4 linked regions of the Drosophila melanogaster genome follow. The protein of the gene in region 3 interacts with the protein of the main gene of each other region in a pairwise test. Each region holds a gene or a part of one and is shown on either strand. Other genes may lie near its edges. The genes, in order: l(3)05822, Rbpn-5, sprt and RapGAP1.

The links.
Region 1: the proteins of sprt (region 3) and l(3)05822 interact in a two-hybrid assay, tested with the Drosophila melanogaster proteins (one large-scale study listed by BioGRID).
Region 2: the proteins of sprt (region 3) and Rbpn-5 interact in a two-hybrid assay, tested with the Drosophila melanogaster proteins (one large-scale study listed by BioGRID).
Region 4: the proteins of sprt (region 3) and RapGAP1 interact in a two-hybrid assay, tested with the Drosophila melanogaster proteins (one large-scale study listed by BioGRID).

Annotation. Positions count from the first base shown.
Region 1 is NT_033777.3:18,295,439-18,300,857, reverse strand, and holds the start of l(3)05822 (lethal (3) 05822), read left to right. Parts: upstream 1-1,978; 5' UTR 1,979-2,734; intron 2,735-5,419. Other genes in the region: Polr1E (RNA polymerase I subunit E), read left to right, coding at 8-485; Dlc90F (dynein light chain 90F), read right to left, coding at 1,101-1,436.
Region 2 is NT_033778.4:21,087,724-21,093,443, forward strand, and holds Rbpn-5 (Rabaptin-5), read right to left. Parts: upstream 3,282-5,720; 5' UTR 3,204-3,281; coding exon 3,149-3,203; intron 3,089-3,148; coding exon 2,547-3,088; intron 2,492-2,546; coding exon 1,707-2,491; intron 1,643-1,706; coding exon 1,507-1,642; intron 1,449-1,506; coding exon 1,332-1,448; intron 1,269-1,331; coding exon 960-1,268; 3' UTR 663-959; downstream 1-662.
Region 3 is NT_033778.4:11,393,898-11,399,385, forward strand, and holds the start of sprt (sprite), read right to left. Parts: upstream 3,536-5,488; 5' UTR 2,997-3,535; intron 528-2,996; exon of another isoform or gene 456-527; intron 1-455.
Region 4 is NT_033779.5:7,575,508-7,581,124, forward strand, and holds the start of RapGAP1 (Rap GTPase activating protein 1), read right to left. Parts: upstream 3,474-5,617; 5' UTR 3,053-3,473; coding exon 2,730-3,052; intron 1,101-2,729; exon of another isoform or gene 738-1,100; intron 507-737; exon of another isoform or gene 227-506; intron 1-226.

The sequences.
Region 1 (5,419 bases), on a different chromosome or scaffold from region 3:
CTTGCAGCATTAAATCGGAATACCTCAAGTCATGTTTGGCCAAAATTCAGGAAAATCCCGTTTCATCCAAGCGAGACTTCTTGCACATTAAACTTATCATCTACATGGACGCCTTGCAGTCGCTAATTTCCCTTCGTTCGCGTCAAATGCAAAAGGCTGAGCTCTCTGGTATCACGGAGAAGATCGAGAATGATATACGCCATCGTTTTGCGGATCCCAATGTGGCAAAGAAGGGAACTCGCACCAATTTCAGCAGTGAAAAGGCACTGACACACTTTATTGTGATGGCCCTGCTCCTCAGTGAGAAGTTCGAAGTGGACATCAATGTCCTCTCCCGTGCTTTGGCCACCACCAAGGCTCGGATCAAGCAGTACGCCCACATTGTGAACGCTCTGCCAAAATCCAATTCGGACATCCTTAGCCTGCGCCTGCCCAGCAAGGTTCCGGCTCTAAAGTCGGGCCGTCGCTTCCAGCGCAAGAAGTAGGAGTATCTTCAAGGACACCGCGCCCGCCATCGATTTAACAAACCCTGGCGCGCCAATTACATTTATTGCATCCAGGTACTTCTGATTTTGTTATTTTGGGCAATGCCAGAAGGAATATTATTATTCTAAACGATAGAAGGTTTTGATAAACTAAAATAAATAAAGAAATAAGAGAAAGACCATTAAAGTTTAATTTTAACAAATGCCTGGGAATTTAAATCGATTTTAGACCAATGGCCAATTGCTGCCATGGAAACGAAAAATATTCCCACGACCCAAAAAATGATGACCCATTGAAAACAGTTTGCAATGATTAACTTATTATGCTACGGTATTATACACTTTTTATTTACGTTTTTAGATTGAAAATCAAGAATAACATTAGGCGAGTACACTGGCAACGGAATAGTTGCTTGCTAATTGCTTGGAAGTGACGACAAGGTTTTCAAGTGCTCCATAATAAATTTTGTTATTACAGCAGGATGGATGGCCGATCAAAAAAGTATGGTATTTGTGTTGTTGGTGTGTGCTGGTGTACGACGGCAATCTTGTTAGTCCCTCCCCCTTTTAAGTCATCTTCATCGCGAATTCCGGCAGTCCTGCCATTCCTCCACTCTAGACGGCCAGTCCGAAGACCGAAACGATGCAGTACATGGTCTTGTTCTCCCAGCGTACTGTGCACGATCCGTCGGTGTCGTTGTTCCAGTAGCAGGAGCTGGCGGTGTGGAGTCCAGCACCGTTCTTTTGCATGATCATGGCGGTCACAATGTACTTGTAGGGCTTCTGCTCCTTGGTGAGCACCGTCAGGCAGTTCTCCACCACCTGGCCGGTCCAGTTGTTCACCTTGTCGTGCTGGTAGGCGTTACCGCCGATGGTCGTCTCGATGGCCTCTTTAATCGTCTTGCTCACGTCGTCCACAATGAACTGGCTTTCTTCGCGTGAGTCATCCATCGTCGCAGCTTTGATTTGCTTCTAACGGCAGCTGGTCAAAAAAGTTTACGTACTGAGCTCAAGTTTGTATTGTTGTCGTTGTAAATGTGCGCGCGTTTTTGGGCTCGTCGGCGGCGTTCGAGCAGTCCAAATAATATATATCGGGATTCTATTTTTCTAAGGGATGCGGAAAGCAAAGTTTGCTTTTAATTTGGAAGTATTTTCTTGGGCACCTTGATCTGGTCAGACTGTGTTGCAATTTAACCGGAGAAACGGTTACATCGTGGGTCATTTCAGCATCTTCACACTAGAGATTTCAAGAGAAGAAACAGTTGTCTTTTATTAAAAACAAAGGTTTCGCTATCAACATTTTCCAAAGCAATTAGTCAAGGAGAGTATAATTAGATTAAGTACTTTCAAAAGGAACCAAACAAGTTAAAACCTATTATAACCATGATGCCAGTGGAAACACATCTAAGCATTTAAATTAATCGATAGAAAACAGTGCTGAAAACCGCGGGAAAATTAAACTTTTAATCGCTGGATTATTTCGACTGCAAGCCACGGTCACTCTGGCAGAATCAACATAACGGACGCGTTCGCGGCGCAATAAAAACGAAAAATAATTAAATTATTCCATAACTCTTCTGCGACACCATTGAAAAACATCGACGCATATCAAGGCCGACAAATATCGCTATTAAATGCACAGCTGAAAGCGATTCGTGCAGCACGTCGTTGAATTGAATTAAATTCGTTATGGGAAAGTGCCTTGGTGTGTGTGTGCGTGCGTATAATTAAGCAAAAGTATTTAGCAAATCGAAGGCGCACATTTCGCAATACACGCTGCGAAATAATCGGGTGATAATTGTCGCAGCTGCAGGCGCACTTCCTTCTCCATCTCCTGCTTTCTTCGTTTTTGTCTCTGCGGATACGTGCTACTACTTTTGCAGCTGCTGTTCAGCTATTTAGCGCGTGTGTGTGAGTGCGCTCCGCGGCTGCTGCTGTTGTTGTTTTTGTTGGCTCACCTCTCGTTAACCACCTTGAATGCGAGTGAACGAGCGAGAGGGGGTGAGAAGAGTGCAAAGTTGATGCCCGCGAGTGTGCGCTTGTCTCTCTGTGTGTGTATGACAACAAATTGAGTGCGACTGTGTGCGTGCGGCATTAGTCACTCTCTTTAACTTTTAACTGTTTTGGTCCACCCTCTGCGAACCAAAAAGGCAAAGACAAAAAAAAACCACTAAACCAACTTTGCGGATCGGTTTTTTTTTTTTGAATCGAAACGAATCGGATCGGAACGAATCGGAAATCACCAAAAGGTTAGTTACCCGCAATTGATATTTAACCACAACATCACCCTGACAACTGCTTGCTTTTGCAAACATACATACATATGTAACATCACTCCACCATTCTCATCAAAGTTTTGCTCAAGCTACTTACTTAATTGAAATTCCAGTCAAGGTCGCATTTGTTAATTAATTAAATGTTTGCCCGGCTGACTGCAAGTATAAGGCAAAAGGGGAAACTTGGCGACTGCACAATAGTTATTGTACAATTCAAAAAGTATTGCATAAACCGATATGCTACGTTTGTTCCGACTGTTTACTCAAGCCTCAAGCGATAAGCGGGGAGTACAGTGACATTTATGGATGGGATGGGAAACCCATTTTCTGTTTTGACTGCATAATCGCCAGCACACGAAAAACACTGTCATTGCATTTAACGAATAACTGGAATTATTAGAGAACAGCTGCCTACATAAATACCGCTTCAAATGGTCACCATTGGTCACTAAATACACTTTTTTTACGAGTCATACATTTGCAGTTTTTCTCTCTGTGTAACTCTGCACGAAGCTTCTTCTTTACCCATTAATAAAATAGAAAACCGAAGGAGTTTCGTTTTCGTTTTGTCACTTTCGGACGCAGCAGGTGGTGCATTTGCGCGCTTACCTCACTTTCCAGCTGACTGACTTTCGGGCGATCCTCACATGGTAGCCATAACCATATAACATATGCTATTCCAGCACCCTTTTTCTCTACGCCAGTGCCCAGTGATAAAAACCCTTCGCAGAGCAATCTTCATATGACAAAAACAGGAAATGTATATCACGCAATGTATATATACATATATATATATATATATTACACAATCTTTTAGAGAAGTGCAATCTTATGAAATGCCAAGCAATAAAGCGGTTTAATATGCTTACTTAAATCGTATACACCGTTTCGTTATGATAACGGCAGATGATATCAAAAAGTATCAGAATATTAAATATTATTATACGCCCAAGGGTATCATTTATACGACTGAATCTGATGCTACACGCAAATGGCACAAAAGATCCTCTTTATAGGCTTTTCAAAGTGCATTGTTTTTTAACTACTGAAATGGGCGGCAAGTGTTTTGCTTTTGCACTCAGTACTCGGATACACATTGGAGTGCACAGAAATGTGGGCGTGTTCGAAAGTACTGATGTAAGCTTTCAGCTCTGATTGTGTTCAACTTTGACCCACATTCGCCAAGTGTCCCGCCATGAAACGCACGAGTGGATTGCAGGGGTAGGAGATGGAGGAGCATTCAGTGATGAATTTCATCTGCTGCTCCCCATATATTTTACATGCAAACGTGCAATTTTCAGACCGCATTGTTTGTCTAGAATTTGTGGGTTTAGCACAAAACTACATTGTATATGCAGTATGTCTATCAATAGTTGTGTGTATGTAAATACGCTTTTAGAACGAACTGCACGAGCTGGAATGGAACGGCAGGGAGAACAAAAAGTACAGAAAAATACATACATACATAATACGTACGTATGTATACGATGAACAGGAAAACGTGCTGACAATGTAGAATGGTTATTTCACCTATTTCATACTTATTCATTCCGCTTTTGCATAGCAAATAAAAATTAGTAGGAAGACTTGTGAAGACTATGCAAAATCTTGGGTTAAGTAAGTAAAACCCGTTTTTGCATTTGGGCTTTTGCCTGTTCTTCGCCTTTTCCGGTCTCCCCTATAAGAATTTTAGATTTTTTTTTTCTGTTAAGACTGCTGCTGCTTAGAGCGCCAAATTTGCCGATCAAATATTTGCTAGCGTGTATCTGCGTAAAGATTGTTGTCGCACCAGATTCAAGCTGTATCCACAAGCGCTCATTAATCTTTAACCCCTCGATGATAAAGAGCTCTTTCGACGAACGAGACTGCCTTTTAAAGATCGCCAGAGCTCAATAAACCTTAACCTCAAAGAATTGAACAAAGCATGGCTCTGTTTTCCCATCATTGCCCATCTTTATCGCACTTGATGTAAATTGAATGATTTCGGCTTCGTTGTTCTCTCCGTAATTTGCTTAATTGCATGAACGCATTGCGGGCACGTTCTTTTCGATTCTGATTCTGCCATATTGGGCAGGTTTTGAGGCGCTTGAAAAACAACTACTGACACCAGCGAAGGAAGCCAAAAGTTGGGCGTGTTTTTATAACCGTTAATCGTAGAGTAGGGCAAAGCTAGCCGAGTACAAAAAATCTTTTTTTGAACTCCGGAAGCTTGGACCACGCATCGTGGCTTTTTGCCACGTCACTCTAACGCCCTAAAGCCGTTAAAGCGGTCACGCCCACACTTTTGAAAATTGTTAAAATATTTTCTCATTTTGTTACCCAACATCATCGATATCCCAGAAAAATGATGAAATTTTGCATTCACACTAGCTGAGTAACGGGTATCTGATAGTCGAGGAAATCGACTTGATCATTCTCTCTTGTTTCAGTTAAGTTCATTTAACTTGCAATGTATGGCATTAAATTCAATTGACTTCGACGTTACGACGAGCATTGCCTTCGTTTTATTTTGTTCATCTGATGGGGGAGCTTTTATTGCCGCTGCTCCCATTTGCTATTTTTACGCTACACCTCAAGAAATGAGTGTTATTTAATATTTATTTCACTTGATGTATATTTGCTTTAGAAACACTTCTTTTTTTTACAATTCTTTTATCG
Region 2 (5,720 bases), 9.7 Mb from region 3:
GATTTACACACTGCCATCAATTCTTACTGATCTGTGTCTTCTACTCTTCCAATCCAGGTAATCGTATGATGGGCATCGTGGGCGTGGCAGCTGTCACTATAGTTGCTCTGATAGCAGGTCGTGTTCTATGGTGAGGTAAGCGAAATCGAATTGAAATCTAGCTATCTCCCGGCGACGGGCTAATTGGGTAATCATTTTTCTATCTCTTCCGCAGACAATGTGTGCCAAAACAAGACGTAATTGCTACTCAAGTAGTGTGATTCCCCCCTCCGTGTTTGTGCGTGTGTTGTGAAGTCTGTAGTTGCTAACGTTTTTCGTTGAGTGCGGAGATTGCAGTATTAGTTTATCATTATTTGGTAGTTGAAGTGAGAGTTGTATATACTGAATTTATATGGGCATGCCCGAAATTGTTATTACGTTTTAATATTTAGCAAATACCTATACCAATCCTAGCTCCTCGCAACCAAATGAAGACACAAATACAATTGTTAACAATAATTTACAAACTCTTTTCTTAGCATTTTTAAATAAACAAGAACACAAACTTTATGTTGCATGGCTCGCCTTTGAATTAAACAACTCAATTCATTACTTTGATATCAACTCTATTGCAGGCAAAGTTGGTTCAAGTAGAGATGTGCGGCGACAAACAACAAAAATTTAATTGTTTTTAATTTGTATATTTGCTTTGAGTTAAATTCAGTTACGAAAACTTACCTACGACGAAAGCTAACATAGACAACTCATCGCTTACGTTATGTATAGGGCCAAAATAATGGAACAACAAAATCGGAAATAGACATTGGCAAATGGAAATGGGCATTGGAAAGGTTTGACCTCGGATCGTAATCGTAGTATCGGAGCACAGAAATAGAGCAATAGAGTTCAAGGAGATACCAACTAATCGTAATCGTACTTCACACATAATACACAATCACTTGGGCTTGGAGCCCAAACGCCTAGTTGGACTGCTGCTGCTGCTGCTGGCCTTGCTGCTGCTGCGGCGGCTGTCCCTGACTGAAGTAGGGTGCGGTGTTTGGCGTGAGCAGCGTGTGACAGATATCACAGACTCGGGCCACTCGCTTCCGTGGTCCAGATGGCACCGTTTTCGTTAGACACTTATCGCAGTAGATGTGGCCGCAGTGCCGGCAATGGATCTTGCGCACCATGACCGTGAAGTAGGCATTGCACGTGGGACAGTTGTTCACATCGTCATCGTCCTGCCAACGCACCTCCGTGTCGGCATGCCGCAGCTCCTCCAGCGACATCTGTGGCACAACACAATGTAATTAATTAAGTGAATAAACCATATATTTTTATATCTCACTCACCTGAAGCGTTTGAGATAGTTTGACAAAGTCCTTTTGAACAGTCTCCATGGTGGAGAGTTCCTCCTGTAGTGTTTTTATCTTCGTCTTGTAGTCTGCATTTGTTTTGGCGTACTTTTCCTGTAATGTGATCTGGTTAGCGAAGAATCAAGTGTGACAACAAAATATGATAGCTTACATTGGCCTCTTGCAGCTCAATGATCTCCACGCGACACTCGGAGAGCTGCTTGTTCAGCTCAGCCTCTTTGCGCTCCAGTTGGGTTTTGGTAGTCTCGTACGCTTGTACCGTGACCAAGTGTTCCGTCACCCGATCCCTGAAAATTCATTTAAAACGTGGGCCAAAGTGAACACCACCATAGACAAGAGGTTGTAACTTACTGCAGTGACTTAATATCTAGTTGCATTTTGCGCTTGTAGGCCCGCCTTTCATTGTTGCTCTCCTCCAGCTGGGCCCGCAAGATCTGAATCTCATCTTCAGTGCTGGTGCACTTCTGTCGCTCGTATTCGCTGCTGACGCGTGCTTGGATTAGCTCGCTTTGCTGTCGCAGTATCAGCTCCTGGAGCTCGACGACCGTGTTGGGCAGATTGATATATTGGTTGTCGATCTCCTCGGACGTGGCCAGATAGCGACCGGACAGAAAGTCGTTGTCCGCCTGCAACGTCTCCAGTTGCTTGTTGACCCGCTCTCGGTCGTCGGAGACGCGCTGGATCTGCTTAATAACCTCGTCCTTGGTCTCGAGAAACTTTTGCTGCATGTCCAGCAGTCGCTGCTCGTTGGTTTTGGCCTGGTCACGCAGGCTTTGTACTTCGCTTTTGTGGGCCTCCCGCTTTTCTTGCCACTGGTCCTCCAGATCCTTGCGCAATGCCGCCTCCTTAACCAGTGTCTCCCGGGATTCCACCAGCTGCTTTTGCAGCAGATCCACCTGTTTCTGCTGTTTGTTTATATGGGCACCCAGCTCTTCGGTCTTCTTTTCTGCCAAGCTGCACGACTCGCAGGCGCTCTCGGCGACGTCCATGGACGTGGACTTGTGCAGGGCGGATTCATCGGACGCCGACTTGGCCTGCAGTTGCTCGTCCTGTTCGCGCAGCTTCACTTTTAGTGCCTTCATCTCCTCCTGAAGCTGCTCGACAATTGAGTGCATCATCTCCGCCTCCTCAGGAGCCTGCAATATAAGCTCAGTTAATTTGATAGTTGAAAGATTAGTCCCGAAAACATACGTATTGCTTGCCATTGCCCTTGCTCGATGCCCGGGTGTCCTCGTCCTGCTGAAAGCTGCTGTTCAGGGAGTCGGTGCCCAGTTTACGCACAGAGCCTAGTGTCTTCTTGACCTGATTGAGCACCTGCGGCGCTATACCGCCAGATGACTCGGCCTGCGGTTGTTGAGCCATCGTCTGCTGTTGAATCTGCTGGTACTTGCCCAGCTCCAGCCTGAGCCGTTCCACCTCGCCTTTGTAGTGCGCGGTCTCCTCGATAGTGTCCTGCACCAGCTGCTGCAGCGAGGAGATCTCCTCCTGCGCCTTGAGGTCCCTCAGCTGCAGCTCGTTCTGCGACTTAAGGTCCGCCACCATTAGGTGTGTCTTCAGCTCGTCCAGCTCCGCCTGCAGCTGCCGTCGCTCCTGCTGGCTCTGGCTGACCTCCGCCTCCTTCTGGATGTACAGCTCCCGCATCTTCGCCCGCTGCGTGTTGAACTCGTTCTGCATTTTGCGCATCTCGTTCTGCAGGTGACTGAGTTTGTGCTGGCTGGTCGCGTCATCCTCACCTGCCGTTGGAGTTATGGGTTAGTTATCGGCTGTTCAGGCTTCCTGTGGTGCTGCCTTACCATTGGGCAGGTCCGTGGGTTCCCTGGCCTCTGACCGGGTCTCGTTTTCTTCCATTTTCTATATTGTGTGATGGCCAATTTATTAGTTTATATGTACATATGTGAGCGCACCAATTAGAACATATACATTTGAGCGATTTTCAACACTGCTCTTGGTGTTACCATATTTGAATAATACCGATAGTTAATACTTTAGTATTGCTTGGCAGTGCCGTTAAAAAAGGTTTTCAAAATCTAACTTTATTGAGCTTGATAAACATCTTTTGGGATTAAGTTTTCTATAGAAGTATAGAAAGTTTAAAATATTTACTTACAGATACTTGGTAAAATAGTTTTAATAATTTCCCTTCGCCAATTTGCAAATGTATTCTTATTTTATGTCCTTTTAATGTGTCCTTTTTAAGAACCCGTTTTATTAAGTTAAAAGTCGGAATCCTTTAAAATCACTCCTTTGTCCTTTTATATCTTAGTCTAAAATCTAAATCTAGATATTCCTCGAATTTTTTGTTATCATCAGCCATCAGGAACTATAAATAGAAAAAGAAAACAAATGGGTAAGGAATATAAATAAACAATACCATATAATTTAAATTTGTATAATGTTTATAATTGCATCTTAATCGTTCTTAATTATTTAGGATTTTCTTAAGCATTTCCTAGAAAGTGTTTCAACATTTGTGTGTAAGCCAAATGACAACGGCAGAATATATTAGACACAATTCTATGAAAAGGTAAATGACTGCCGATCATGAATGACTAATACCGTCAGTTCTTTTAATTTTATGCAAATTATTAAGCGCCAGAAACGCGAGAAAACGCTAAGAGCTGATAAATTATGAGAGGAAAATGAATACTTCAATAATGCCTAGCTAATGAGAAAACATATTTAAATATAACAATATAGCAAACTATTTGAGATAACAAAACTACGCGTTAACCAGAACAAAACTCGATTTCAGAATTTCGGCATCGGCTGAGGAAGCCGAAAACTTGACTAATTATAAAATTATCATGGCTGTACACTACCAGAAATTGGAAAACATTTTAGTCGATAGGTAAAAAATAATTGTACGCTGTAACTAATGTTAACTTTAAACATTTGTTAACCACCTTATAGCCAATAATATTAATTAAATCATAGCATTAGGCATTACATAGACCATTTTTTTCGTCAGTGTACGCTGAGATCCGTTGGGTCTTCTAGGTCTTGGACTTGTTGGCAGGCTTGTGAGCTCATGACTTTCGATGTCGTCATAGTCGGCAGCCGGAGATTCGTGGCCGATACAAATACTACAGCATTATGCCCAGCGACAACAGCAGCGATGTTGGCCAAAATATTTGGCGTCTGTTCAGTTCGCATTGGATTCAGGAACGAGGCGGTCGGAAGCGGGAAAAAAAAGTACGCGAAGAAATAAATACGCGGCGCCTTGGAATCGCGACGGCATTTCTACTTATAAACTTAAAAATAATACAAATATATAAGTACAACCGCCGCGATATATGTATGTGAACGGAACTTGAATAATGACCATAAAGTGCCCAATGTTTTGAGTTCCTACGGATATCAATTAGAAAATTGCAAAGCGAATCCATATAGATTCCCGGATATACCAAAAAAAAAACCGACCATGTCGCAAACCCAGAGCATAACACCCATTCCCAGCACACCGCCGCCTTCACGGCGGGCAAATCGACCGCCCAGGATCAACATCCACAATCTGACCAGCGGATCGGCAATGAGCCAGGCATCGATGCCACCCAGTGCCCAGCCACCCTATACGGCCCAAACGAACTTCACGGGCAATGGAACACAGGGACCCTACTGGCCACCAATGGCCAATCCCTTCGGATACGGCAACTTTATGACCAAGGGCTACGAGGGCTTCCTCGATATCACAAAGTCGGGCTTGAGCTTCGGCGAGAAGATGACCTTCGGCATGTACAAGTGGTCGCGCCGATGGTTCACCCACATCTTCCTCATCCTCATCCTGGCACTATACAATATCGGCGGTGCCGTTGTATTCCGCACAATCGAAGGTGAGATCCATGACCCAGAACATCCAGCTTCTATAGATCAATTGGCTTATCAACTGCCTGAAGATAAAGTGCTCTCCTCTAGAGACAATTTCATTAGGTTACAGCCGAAAAAGTTAAGATATTCAAGAAATCCTAGAGAAGAAGTGCACTGAATGAGTTTGTTTGCTTATCAAGCTCTTCGGAAAATTGTTTGGAAAATAGTAAACAGTTCAGTTGCCAGCCATTCAAATAAATACACCTGTGCTGTATTGTAATCGTAAAAACATCCCCATCAATTTGGCAGACGACTGATTTCGGTATCCGAGTTCATGAAACACTCGAAAAAACAAGAACTTATTTAAGTTTTAAATTGAATTTTATTGAGTTTTAAAAACAAAACTATACAGCTGGGTCTTTTGATTCAATTCGATTGGAGTAAGATGTTTTATATTAGTTGGCTTTAGGTTTTTTTGATATCATTTGGAATATTTGAACTACAATTTTGCTATTAGTGTAGGCACACAATACACCCATTTTTTGAATGAATCACATCTGC
Region 3 (5,488 bases):
ATCTTCTGCCCACACAGCGAATGCTGGATTTTATGTAAATTCAATAGCTTGAAAATCAAATCAAATTTCTGTCTATCTCACGGAGGGGGCGTTACCAGCCCCGCTCCTCTGCTGTTACTTGCTAACTATTAATTCTCTTTCAAGCGCGCCTACAAAATTGTTGCGAGATGAGCTCAGTGCGCGCCCACAATTTGTTGGAACAATGCAAAAATATTTTGCTCAATTACTTAAATGGAGATGACACCTGGTTCTAATATATATATATTTGTTTATATATACGCGTAATAACTTGATTCGAAGCTCTGGCTGTTACGCCTGCTTTAATGCAAATGGAAAAAGCCAACGGCTTGTGCGCTGTTAGAACTAGCAGATACGGACGCTGTTAACTTTTCCAGCTGTTAGAAGCGTTCTGACTGCGGTTATGCCTATTGCGCTTTGGCCAGCGTTTCAACAGAGCCTCTTTAGCTCAGTGGCAGAGCACTGGTCTTGTAAACCAGGGGTCGTGAGTTCAATCCTCACAGGAGGCATTTGTACGAAATCATGTTTTTATTTTTATTTTCATATTTGAATATTTCCTACAAGGTTGAAACAATTATCAAAATTAACTTAATTCAGTTTCACTAACGTTTTGGCGTTATAATTACCTTTATGAATAAATATTTGCCCCCCGGGCTTGCCACCAAATAAGTTTTGTTTTTGTTATTTACGAACAACGTGGTTTTCCTATAAACCTTAACCCTGCTTAGTTTGTAGTTTCCCAACACCTGCAGCTTGTCTGTTCGAGTTATTTACGAGCTGAAATATTTCTCTTGGCACTAACACACTGCGGCTGCTCACAAATTAGCCCAGCTTGACAATTGGCCTGACTTGTCGGGCATTATTATGTGTGCACAAGTGTCACAAGCGCAGCCCCGACATTGATAATTTTAATCGCCCCGGAGGCTGCTCACTACATGGCCAACTCAATGGACCAGACCGGGCTAAGATGGCCCCACAACTGGCCAAGAATATGCTTAATGGACTTGACATAAATATGTAAATTTCTTTGTTTTGGGGTTTATATCTTTCTTTTTGTCTTTCTACTTTGAGAGACTTCTGTAGAAAAGGTCGTTGGTTTGTTTATTTGGCAAGCAGTTCTAATAAACTTTTTATTATATCATAGACGGGGGCAACCGCTTTGTTCTCTTTTTTAATAAATTGATTTGCAGCTTTATATTTCCATCATTTGAACATAAGTTTGATAAGAAAGAATGTACAAAATCTGCTCGATTTTAAATATATATTACGAAGCGGCTCAGATAATTAGGTTAAGAAACTTGTTTCGACCCATACGGCATACGGTCATGGAATTGACCCCAAGTTCACCACCAAAATATATAGATTTCCATTGTTTGTTTGCGGAGTGATCACTGTACGGGCTGTTTGCTGTGCAGCTGTTGCCATTTCAGCTGATAATTGCCCATCATTTTCACTGGGCAATTAGTCTCGGGCATATTTTTCTACACAGTGTGTATTTATCGTTCACAGTTAGAACGTCAGCTGTCTTTAGACCGAGATGCAGATTGGGGTCGCGAAAGTCTCCGCACTGGACAAATCACTTATGCAAATCAATTCTAGAAAGTCGGCCTGCGATTAGGCGCTATAAGAAAGTGCAAATTGCCCTGGTCAAATGATCGGAAATACGATCAAAACGAAAGCGAAATCGATGCGGATAGTTTTGCCTTGGTTTATTTTGAGAAGATGAAGAGATTTGCAGCTCTCGTTTTAATTGTTACAGCGCCTCTTTGAATGAAAGTGAAAACCGCAACCGAAACAGTTACCCCGAATAGTCAACAATCACAGGTCGACGATGTATGCAAAGTTATCTAGCCAAATCTCGGCTTTCTATTCCCACTTAATGGACGAAGAAGACGAAACAAAAGTCAGCATAAATGCGTTGATGCACCTCAGTCCACACATGGGCGAGAAATCACGACATGAAGCCCACATAAAAAATAAAATACAGTCATTCGAAAATTACCATATCCAACAAATACCCGAAAAACAAACTCTGATTAGGTTGTTAGCATTGAAAAAAATCGAGAAACAGACAAAAGTCACAGACGAACGGCCAAAAGAATCCGAAGAATATGTAAATGACACTCTAGAGACCCCAAAGACATCCTGCCGATAAAGGGTTTGGCATTTCAATGAAGAAATGGAAGCGGAGAATACATTTCGTCTTAGAGGGCGTTCAATTGTTATTCAAATGCAGCCAGTGACTCCCAAAAGGAAATATCTAATTAAAATTAATGACAAAAGCGAGATGGGTGATGTTCAGACCGAGATACCAGCCGAACCAACAGAACCTGCCACTGCATTTGAGCCACGATTCGAAAGGGGTCTGTAGAACGTATTAGAATCGTAGATTGTGATTCAACCGCAAAATTCTCAGACGTAATTATATGTATGGTCGGTCGGTTAGAGATCGAGTCATTTTTGACTGATTGATTGTGGCTGCTTTGAGGAATTCTATTAGAAATTTGAACCTAATTTTTCTGTATTCTATGACGAGACATTGAACTTGATTGTGGCATAATGAGCAAAAAACCATGCTATTTACTGCCTTATCTGCGCCTCATCAACAAACCAAATCGCGTTTTAATAGACGGTCGGCTAACTAATTTATTTCGGAGCCTTCAATTATCCCTGCCGCTTTTGTTATGATAGGAAAGAGTTATACAACAGTTCGAAAGTTCCTCCATATTCAGATATCAGAATTGTTTTTCAAGGGGATTATGCAAGACAAATTCCAAGTAAAGATGAGGAGCGGCCTTCTGAAGAGATAAATTGCCCCATCATCATTATTGTTTTGTCTGCGACGACCCCGTTTGCTCTAAAGAGGCCGCACTGTATTTTAGAATGCAACAATTGAACGCTGCTTAACCTTTCGCTTTTCGCAAGTGATTTTCGCTCTTCATTTGTTGCCATTGTTATGGGCGATGAAAACTACTTACCAGCTTAAAGTAGTACGGATCCCAGTTAAAAGTCAACCAATAACTCTGAACAATGGCAATGTGCGCAAATTAATGGCAACATTTCATTTCATTGCATTTGATTTGTTTGATTTGGTGGAGGGAGGGAAGCCTCAATTTGGTGTATTGTATTGTGCGAATTATTTACACTTGGGACATAAATCAATGATGTCAATGCTTAAACCGATTGTGTTTGAAACCGCATCGAAACCGTTGCTAAAACGCGATCGGCACATTTAGTTTTATTTTTTTTTTGTTAATTATTTCCGTTTGCAGCGACTTAATAACTCATACTATTTCCGCTGTGCGTTTCCTCTGTTTATGCAGGATGCAGGAAATTTGCTTTCAAATGGGCCAAGTAAACAAGTAAACAAAACGCACAAATTCACGTAGGTTCAGGTTGATTGAAGAAGGTCCACGAATTCACGCAGGCGCAGCGGAGGGCTAATCACAAAATCGGGTTCGGATTACACGGAGAGTGCGAGCACAACCGATCGCGTCGACGATTGGATGAAGTCTGAACATCGTGACTTTAGCGGCAAACGGGCATTACATGAAGCCGCTCTCTCGGCTTCTCACTCACCGGCTCTCACCACTGCACCCTCTCTGTTTTTTTGTCGGTGTTGTATGGATTTGCTTATAAAGAAAAGCTAAATAGCTGAAAAGGTCTGTGAAAAAATAGACAAATATGAAATTGTGCGTAAAAGAATTGAGATAGATATCTAATTTGAAATATGATTAGGTGGCTTAGTAAAAAGTTCTACAATTTTAAATTTCTAACTCGAAGAATGGTTTAGAATTATCATAATCATATATATGTATATCCATTTTTAGCTCAAAAGGAGCTAGGTGTGTTGAACTGGTGGTGGGTGAGTGAGTGAGAGAGCGGTTCTGTAGAGCGAGTACTTGCGAAGTGCACTGGTCCCTGGATTTGGATTTATTGGGTTATAGTTGGTGCGACCGAGGCGCTGTGATCGTAATGGGTAAGATGGGTAGTGGTAATAGAGTTCCAGTGCATTGAACTCCACTCCCTCGACTTTTCGGTGGGTGTCTTTGGCTATTTTGACAGCTGCCGCTGCATCTGAGATTTTACGATGCAGCGCGTATCTTAAACTGCTCATTTGCCTGCTGATGCAGTTGCATCACCGAGATCGGCGTCATCGACATATGGCACTCGGTTTTATATAGTGCCCTCTATCTGCCCTTTATCTTAGGCGCTTCGGTCCGATGAGTTCGCTCGTGCGCAAAGTCAATTAAAATGATCACAACAATCCCGAAAAAAACCCTTTGCCATGTGCCGAGGGTAAAATGCGCATGCGTAGGGGTTGATGGCGTTGATTGTATTTCCCTTCATTAAATGCAGCCCAAAAATAGATACACAACAAAGCCGAAATTCAAGAGCGGGCATAAATCAAAATTAAACAAAAATTAAAACAGGAAAAAAGGATTACGCATGCGCCTCTCGTGCGCTTTAAGTGCGTCATATTTTAACCCTCTGCCCGCCTAATTGCGAAACTTTCTGCGGGCTGATATCGTTTCGATTAGCTAATGTGAGGCAGGGCCACTGGCTATAAATCAAATCTTGCGAGTGAAATGTGCTTTACCGTTAGACCGAGTCTATTACCAAATCTGAAAGCGGATGACTGCTCATTTCCATACACGTTTGTGACTTCAGTCTTTCGTTTCTTCAGCGCACCAAGACAAAAGATCGAGAATGCGGAGAATCGAAGAGATATTTGTTGCCTGTCGAATAATAAAAACGAAAGAAATAGAAACACTTCCTCTCCGAAAAGAAAAACAAAGGAAAATCACTTGACGCTGTCAGTTACGCGAAACCACTTTTTATGGTTTTTCATCCCGAACAAAATAAACAACGACACAACCGAAAAAAAAAGAAACGAAGACCGCAAGTGGCTGGAAAAACTAAACTTGCTTTGGGTTTCCCTCGCTTTTCCGAGAATAAGATTGAATCGGGATTTGGGATCGGCTCTTGAATTGAGGATGAGGTCGGGGCCAAAGGCCAGGCCAAACATTATAAACTCGAACATTTTGTGGCACTTGAAAAATGGAAAAAACCGAGGGAGAGTCCTGTTTCGTAATTTATGCCAAGTGGATGAGATTTCAATGACCGAACAAGTAGCCGCTTGCAACCTCAATTAAAACCGTATTTATGCCATCATAAAGAAAACATTGCGTTGCGCTACCTGGACTCACTTTCCACTGCCGATCCTCATTTTTTCATGTTTCCTTAAAGGTGTGCGTGTCCATGGAGCATTTCCAAGATCGCGAGACGACATAAATTGTCTCACCAGCTAAAAACCAATGGGAGCGGAACTTGATCGCGTTTTTGGAACGCCCAAAAGTCCTTGCACAGGTGACAGGTGCTCTCGATTTAGGGCAACAGGCTAATTTAGTGTGCACATTGCGCAGGGAAATGAAGAATTTTACAAGAAGAACAAGAATGTTTAAACTAA
Region 4 (5,617 bases), on a different chromosome or scaffold from region 3:
AACGCAAGAAAACTCGGGAACCGCCAAAAACGAGATGAAGAAAGAGGGAGAGGAATGAGACAAAAACGGAACTTTTTTGTGGTTATTTCTTTTTATAAATATTTCTCATTTGTAGTTTCTTTTCAGTGGTTTGACATTTGTCTGTGCTGATTATGTTATTCCGTCATTTCATGCACTTGTTATTGGATGGAATTTTCGTAATTGAATTGCACAAAATATTACGCACACAATTTCACTTGGTTTCAACACTTTCTTCGCTTCTGCTTTTGGATTCTTTGCTCGTTACATTTCAATTTCAGCCAACGATTTTTGTTTAAAAATTTCACTTTTAACTACGTGCGCGTATTTATGCAGCTGTTTTTTTTTTTTGGCAAACTTATTTTGATTTCTATTTGTCTTGCCCATTAAGACACCTTTGCCACTTTCGCTTCTAATTTTTTGATAAGGCCAACAAATGCGATTTCAATTTGTTGTTATTCAAGCACACACGTTCAATTAAAAGTTCGTCAAACATTTTGCTTATTGTTTGTCTATTTATTGCTTTCGTTTTCTTTCTTTTGTTTAGGCTGTTTAGGAAACCGCCTCAGTGGGATCAATTGCAAATTAATTGTTGAAGAAAGTTTGCGTGTTATGCTTAGCATGATTTGTTTTTGTTCACTTTTTTCAAGAATTCAAAACCACAAATCATCATTGCCTTAATTGGTTATATTAATTTTATAATTTTTTTGGTTGATTACCTAGCACTTTCACATATTCGAGTATTCGTTTGTTGTTTGCTCTTCTTTTTTAACAATTTTCTTGTTTGTTTTGATTTTTCCATTCGTGGCGCTTCTCGCCGTCTTCTGTTGCTGTCGATTTGCAACTGCTTTGCGTTCTACCGTTACTTTTCGAACAGCTAATGAAGAAGACGCATCAGCGTCTGGACCGCAGACCCGAAATATATTACGATTCCTGTTCCGATTCCCGATATCAGGATTTCGCGACGCAGACGCGCGACAACGCTCACACACACGCCCGGTCGTCCTCGCACACGCACACACTTAGTCGGACACTCGCTGGCTCGGACGCCCACACGAGTTGGTTCACAAATCGACTCTGAGTCGCAAAGCAGAAAAGCTGCGGGTCTGGCCCCAAACGAACACGAATGCGAGCGACGAACAACATCGTTGCGCACGAAGCTCAGATTTCAGGTTCCACTGGCGAATGCGATCCACAAACTCCACAGTGGGGGCCAAAATAATAGTGGCTGTGGATCCAGTTATGGAGATTTTATTTATGTACACATATATTATGAAGCTTAGACAGATAAAAATTATTTAATGCAGCGCAGACAAAGAAGAGTGGAATGATATATGAAATAACATGTAAAACATGTGATGATACAGATATGCATTAATTCATATTAAAGAGCAGATAATTTTATAAAAATCCGTGCTATTGCTGCGACCTTAACTGTACGTGCACGTTGCATTTTTGTTAAGGCGAGAGAGCGAGTTTGTTGTTGTTCTGCTCTCACTGCTTTTGTTGCCTTTATGGGGGCGAAATTCTTGTTTATTTACATTTATTTACATTCCAAATGCGCGCAGTTTAGGCAAACAGAAAGAGTTGTTGCCAGGGGAGAGCGGAGCTGCCCGCATTAGCCAAAGTAAACAGTTTGGAAAACAATGCAATTCAAAGAAGCCGGCAATGCAGTTGCCAGTTAATTATTTGCACAGTGTACCCCAAAAGTATGCAGAAGGCAATGATTTCCCTCCACCGAGAGATAACCAAAACAAACCGAATAACCGGAACCGGCGTGGGACACCAATACACAAGTAAACAGAGGCACGAGCCAAAAACAGTCGGCGTTCGCCCCCTTGGAAAGTGGTGTTATTCCAGAACACGTTCTTTCATGAGCCTTTTTCGAGAGAAAGTATTTTCACAATTTGGATATACCATTTTTCTGGATTTCTGATGTCAACCCGAATAAGTATTACAGAATACGAAATTGAATATGTATGTATGTATGTTATAGTAGTTATAAAAAAGAATTTTCCGTCAACTTTTGTTGACTAAACATTGTTTTTTGTCTTGTACACCAAATCTAACAATTTGTGGAAAAAGAATCACTTTGAAAAGTGTTCACAAACTTTCGACTTGTATTTGTAAATGCAAAAAATGCAGTTCTCCCGCGAACTGTTTCCACAATCCACAAAATGACGTCGGCGTGTTGCACTTGTTCCCTCGTTTTTATCATCCACATGCTTGCCGATGTTTTCGTTGGCGGCTGATAACGAACAGCTGATAACCACACGATAAACCGCAGCTGCGAGGGGCGTTTCGAAAACCCGAAAACAGATAACCAACTGTTGCATGCCCCACATTTTTGGGGTTACACATCAAAGTGAACCGCAAGACAATGGATGCCACTTCTTTGGTAGTTTCTATATAAACAGGTATGGAATGCATGCATATATTTGGTCATTCAACATTTATCTCGGTCTCCATGGAAGTGATTTACAAGAGAAAGAAATAAAATTGATTTGTTTACGATGTGTAGGTAATAAATGGGTAAAATCATTTTAAAACCTTTCAAATGCTAGGCACAAACAAATTTTAAATTCTTGACCACCTGATGCTCTGATTCTAAACGATTAACCACATTAATATCTTGGCACTCATAAAAATGAGTAATTTATTAATGAATAAATTGAAAAAAAAAACTAGTTTTTATCATTAAGTGCACTTACCTTAGTGGTTCTGTCAGCATATCTATATTCTCGCAGCTTTCCATCTCCAGTCGCTGGTATTGCAATTGCCTGGCACTCGAAGTGCTCGATCTGCCCCCTGATCCTCCCGAAATTGTGGCCGAGTTGGATGAATGGCGACGATACTCGGCGAAACTCTCGCTTTTGCGGAGACCCGGAATTTTTCCGGAACTGTTGCGCCAGTACTTGATCATCCGGTGTAGGGGCTTGGGCGAACTGGCTGCCGAACTCGGGGCCAGCGATATTTCACTGCTTCCCACTATAATCGGATGGCCATGATCCACCAATGTCCTGTAGGAACTCATTTTTATCGCCTAAATCTACTAAATTTTGAAAGGTTACTCTTGAGAATATGTACTAACAGAATATGTACTATGTACTCTAGTAATTGCATGTGTTTTTTATTAGTTTGTTTTATTATAATGAATTTATTAAGTTAATTGAAATATATACGTTTATAACTTTCCATATAGATTGTAGAATATATTATATTTTTAATTTATATTTTTCACTGCGAATTGGTACTCTTATCATTTCTACTCCGGGCTTACACTTAGATTTATTATATTCACTCATTACACAATGTGACTATAGTTATAAAATTAATTTATGTCTACATTTTTTTTTTCTTTGCATAAATTAGAATTCGTTCGTTGCATAAATCGCGTTTCGTTGGGGTTTCGATATGATGTCGCGTCGCGCCGCCTTCGATTTTCCGACTGACCGCAACAAAGAATCGGAACAGAGCCCCAAGAACCGACTTTTTAGAACCGAGCTCCATTATCTGGAGCGTTCTCCCTCGCTTGTTTTTGCTCTCCCTCTCTTTCCATTTCCATTGTTTTTATAACTTCGCACGTTTTATTGCATAGTGTTTTTTTCTGAATTTACTTATATTTCTTGCGATTTCATTATTTTAAACATACCGGGTACTTCTGATCTTAATTGGGAATATATGTACTTAAAGCGATCATATAAGCATCAAAAATCTGTTCAAACAATGTTTTTTTTTTTATATATTTATTTATTTAGAAGCGATGAATCAATACAATGCAATAACAGTAACATAACAGCGCAATTAACATATAAAAGATAAAACCAAACCTCTCACTAATCATGTGAGGACTTAATTCAAACAATGTACTATAAATAATAAATATTCTCACCTTTTTGGGGTTAATGTGTTTTATTAAAAATTAAATTTACATTTTTTAGGTTTAATTTAGAAACCACTAAAGAAGTGGATATTGTACTCTTTTATAAATATAAAAGGTATATTCCATTCTTAAGCGCCAGTTAAACGTTTTTACTAGTTTTGGATTGTATTTCAGTTTTACTGTGCTGGTGATAAATGACCGAGCTGGGATTCCGCTAAGTCAGCTCGTTTTCATTTTATTGCTGCCGATATACAAATTAAGTGTAATCCGTACATATAGAGACGTCTTTATTTATTTTTATTTACCATTTCCAGCTATCGGATATCTCAGGGTTTTCAGCACCGCCCCCTTTAACACGCCCCATGAATAGAAACCATTGTCTAGTTCAATGCTCCAATCAATCACCATTTAGACTTTGGTTAATTAATTAAACAATCCATCAAGATTTTCTCTTATCTGATTCTTACACCTTCGTTTGACATTTTCAGGTGCTGGGAAATTGATTTGCGCATAATAAGCGACGATTTTACTCAGATTTTCCTCATTTCTATGGCACTTGGAATAGGAAAAAGTAGTGTGGGGACAACTGGAAAATATAAATGTCTCATCGATGCATCAATGAGTCAAGCTGGGTTTACGATTCTGCTGCGGGTCACCACCAAGAACTTTAATGGTTCTCGAAAAGAGGGTGATAAGGAAACAGACTTCAGGGCGTCGCAATATGCACAAAAAACGGACGGAGAATAAGTGCATTAAAGTCGATGGGGGGGATGAAGACAGTGGCGTCGAAAAGTGGTTCCACAACTGCTAAATGCCGCTGCAATCGAGTTAACAGGTAATGGAATATCCAGCAAATCAGATAAATGGAACATGCAAAACAAATCGCTCGATAAGAGAGCTGTAAATATGAAAATTATAAAAAAGAAATCAAGTCGTTGTAGCTTCAAGATACTCTTTTTAGTAAAATGCATCTGCCTGCATTCAAAATAGAAAATGGCATTTCTATTTTGTCGAAATACTTCTTATCTGTTTTAATGCCTTTTGATGCATTTCAAAAATTCATGTGACTTAATAAGTGTTTAATGTTTAATTTTCCCCCTATCGCGATCTCCTAATTACAGAGTATCAAAACCAATTTAAAGTGAAATCGAAAACCCAAATCGAAATCGAATTCGCAGTTGCTACTGTAACGGTTTCGGCCACGGGAAAGTCGAGTAAGATTTATCATGACATTTCCTTGATGACGATACTCAATCGCAACCGCCCCCCTACATCAACCCCCCAGCACCGCCCCCATCCCCCATGACCACTCGAGCATCGTGTGTGCGTTGTCAAAATTACATTAAAGCGGAAATCGCATGCTCCGCTTCAGTGCCAATCGAAAGAAGACAGCAAACTGACCGCAGAGTAGAAAAAAAAACTAAAACTGCACTGCCCGCAGTCTCGGATAACTGCACTGGAAAAAACTCTTGGCTTTTCTATGTGTTCTTAAAAATCTGCTCAAGTAACAACTATTTTTTGAAAACAATCTAAATAGATACAGATAGTTTAGTATGTTCATATACATTTAGAAATATTTCTATACAATCGTATAGCTTAGGATCAAGAATAAGCTTAATATTTCTTTGTTAAACTTTATATTTATTTATTAAACATAATTTTTTCCTGTCTATAGGAAGGGGTAAGAAGGGGTCTGTGGGTGCCGGCACGCAACAC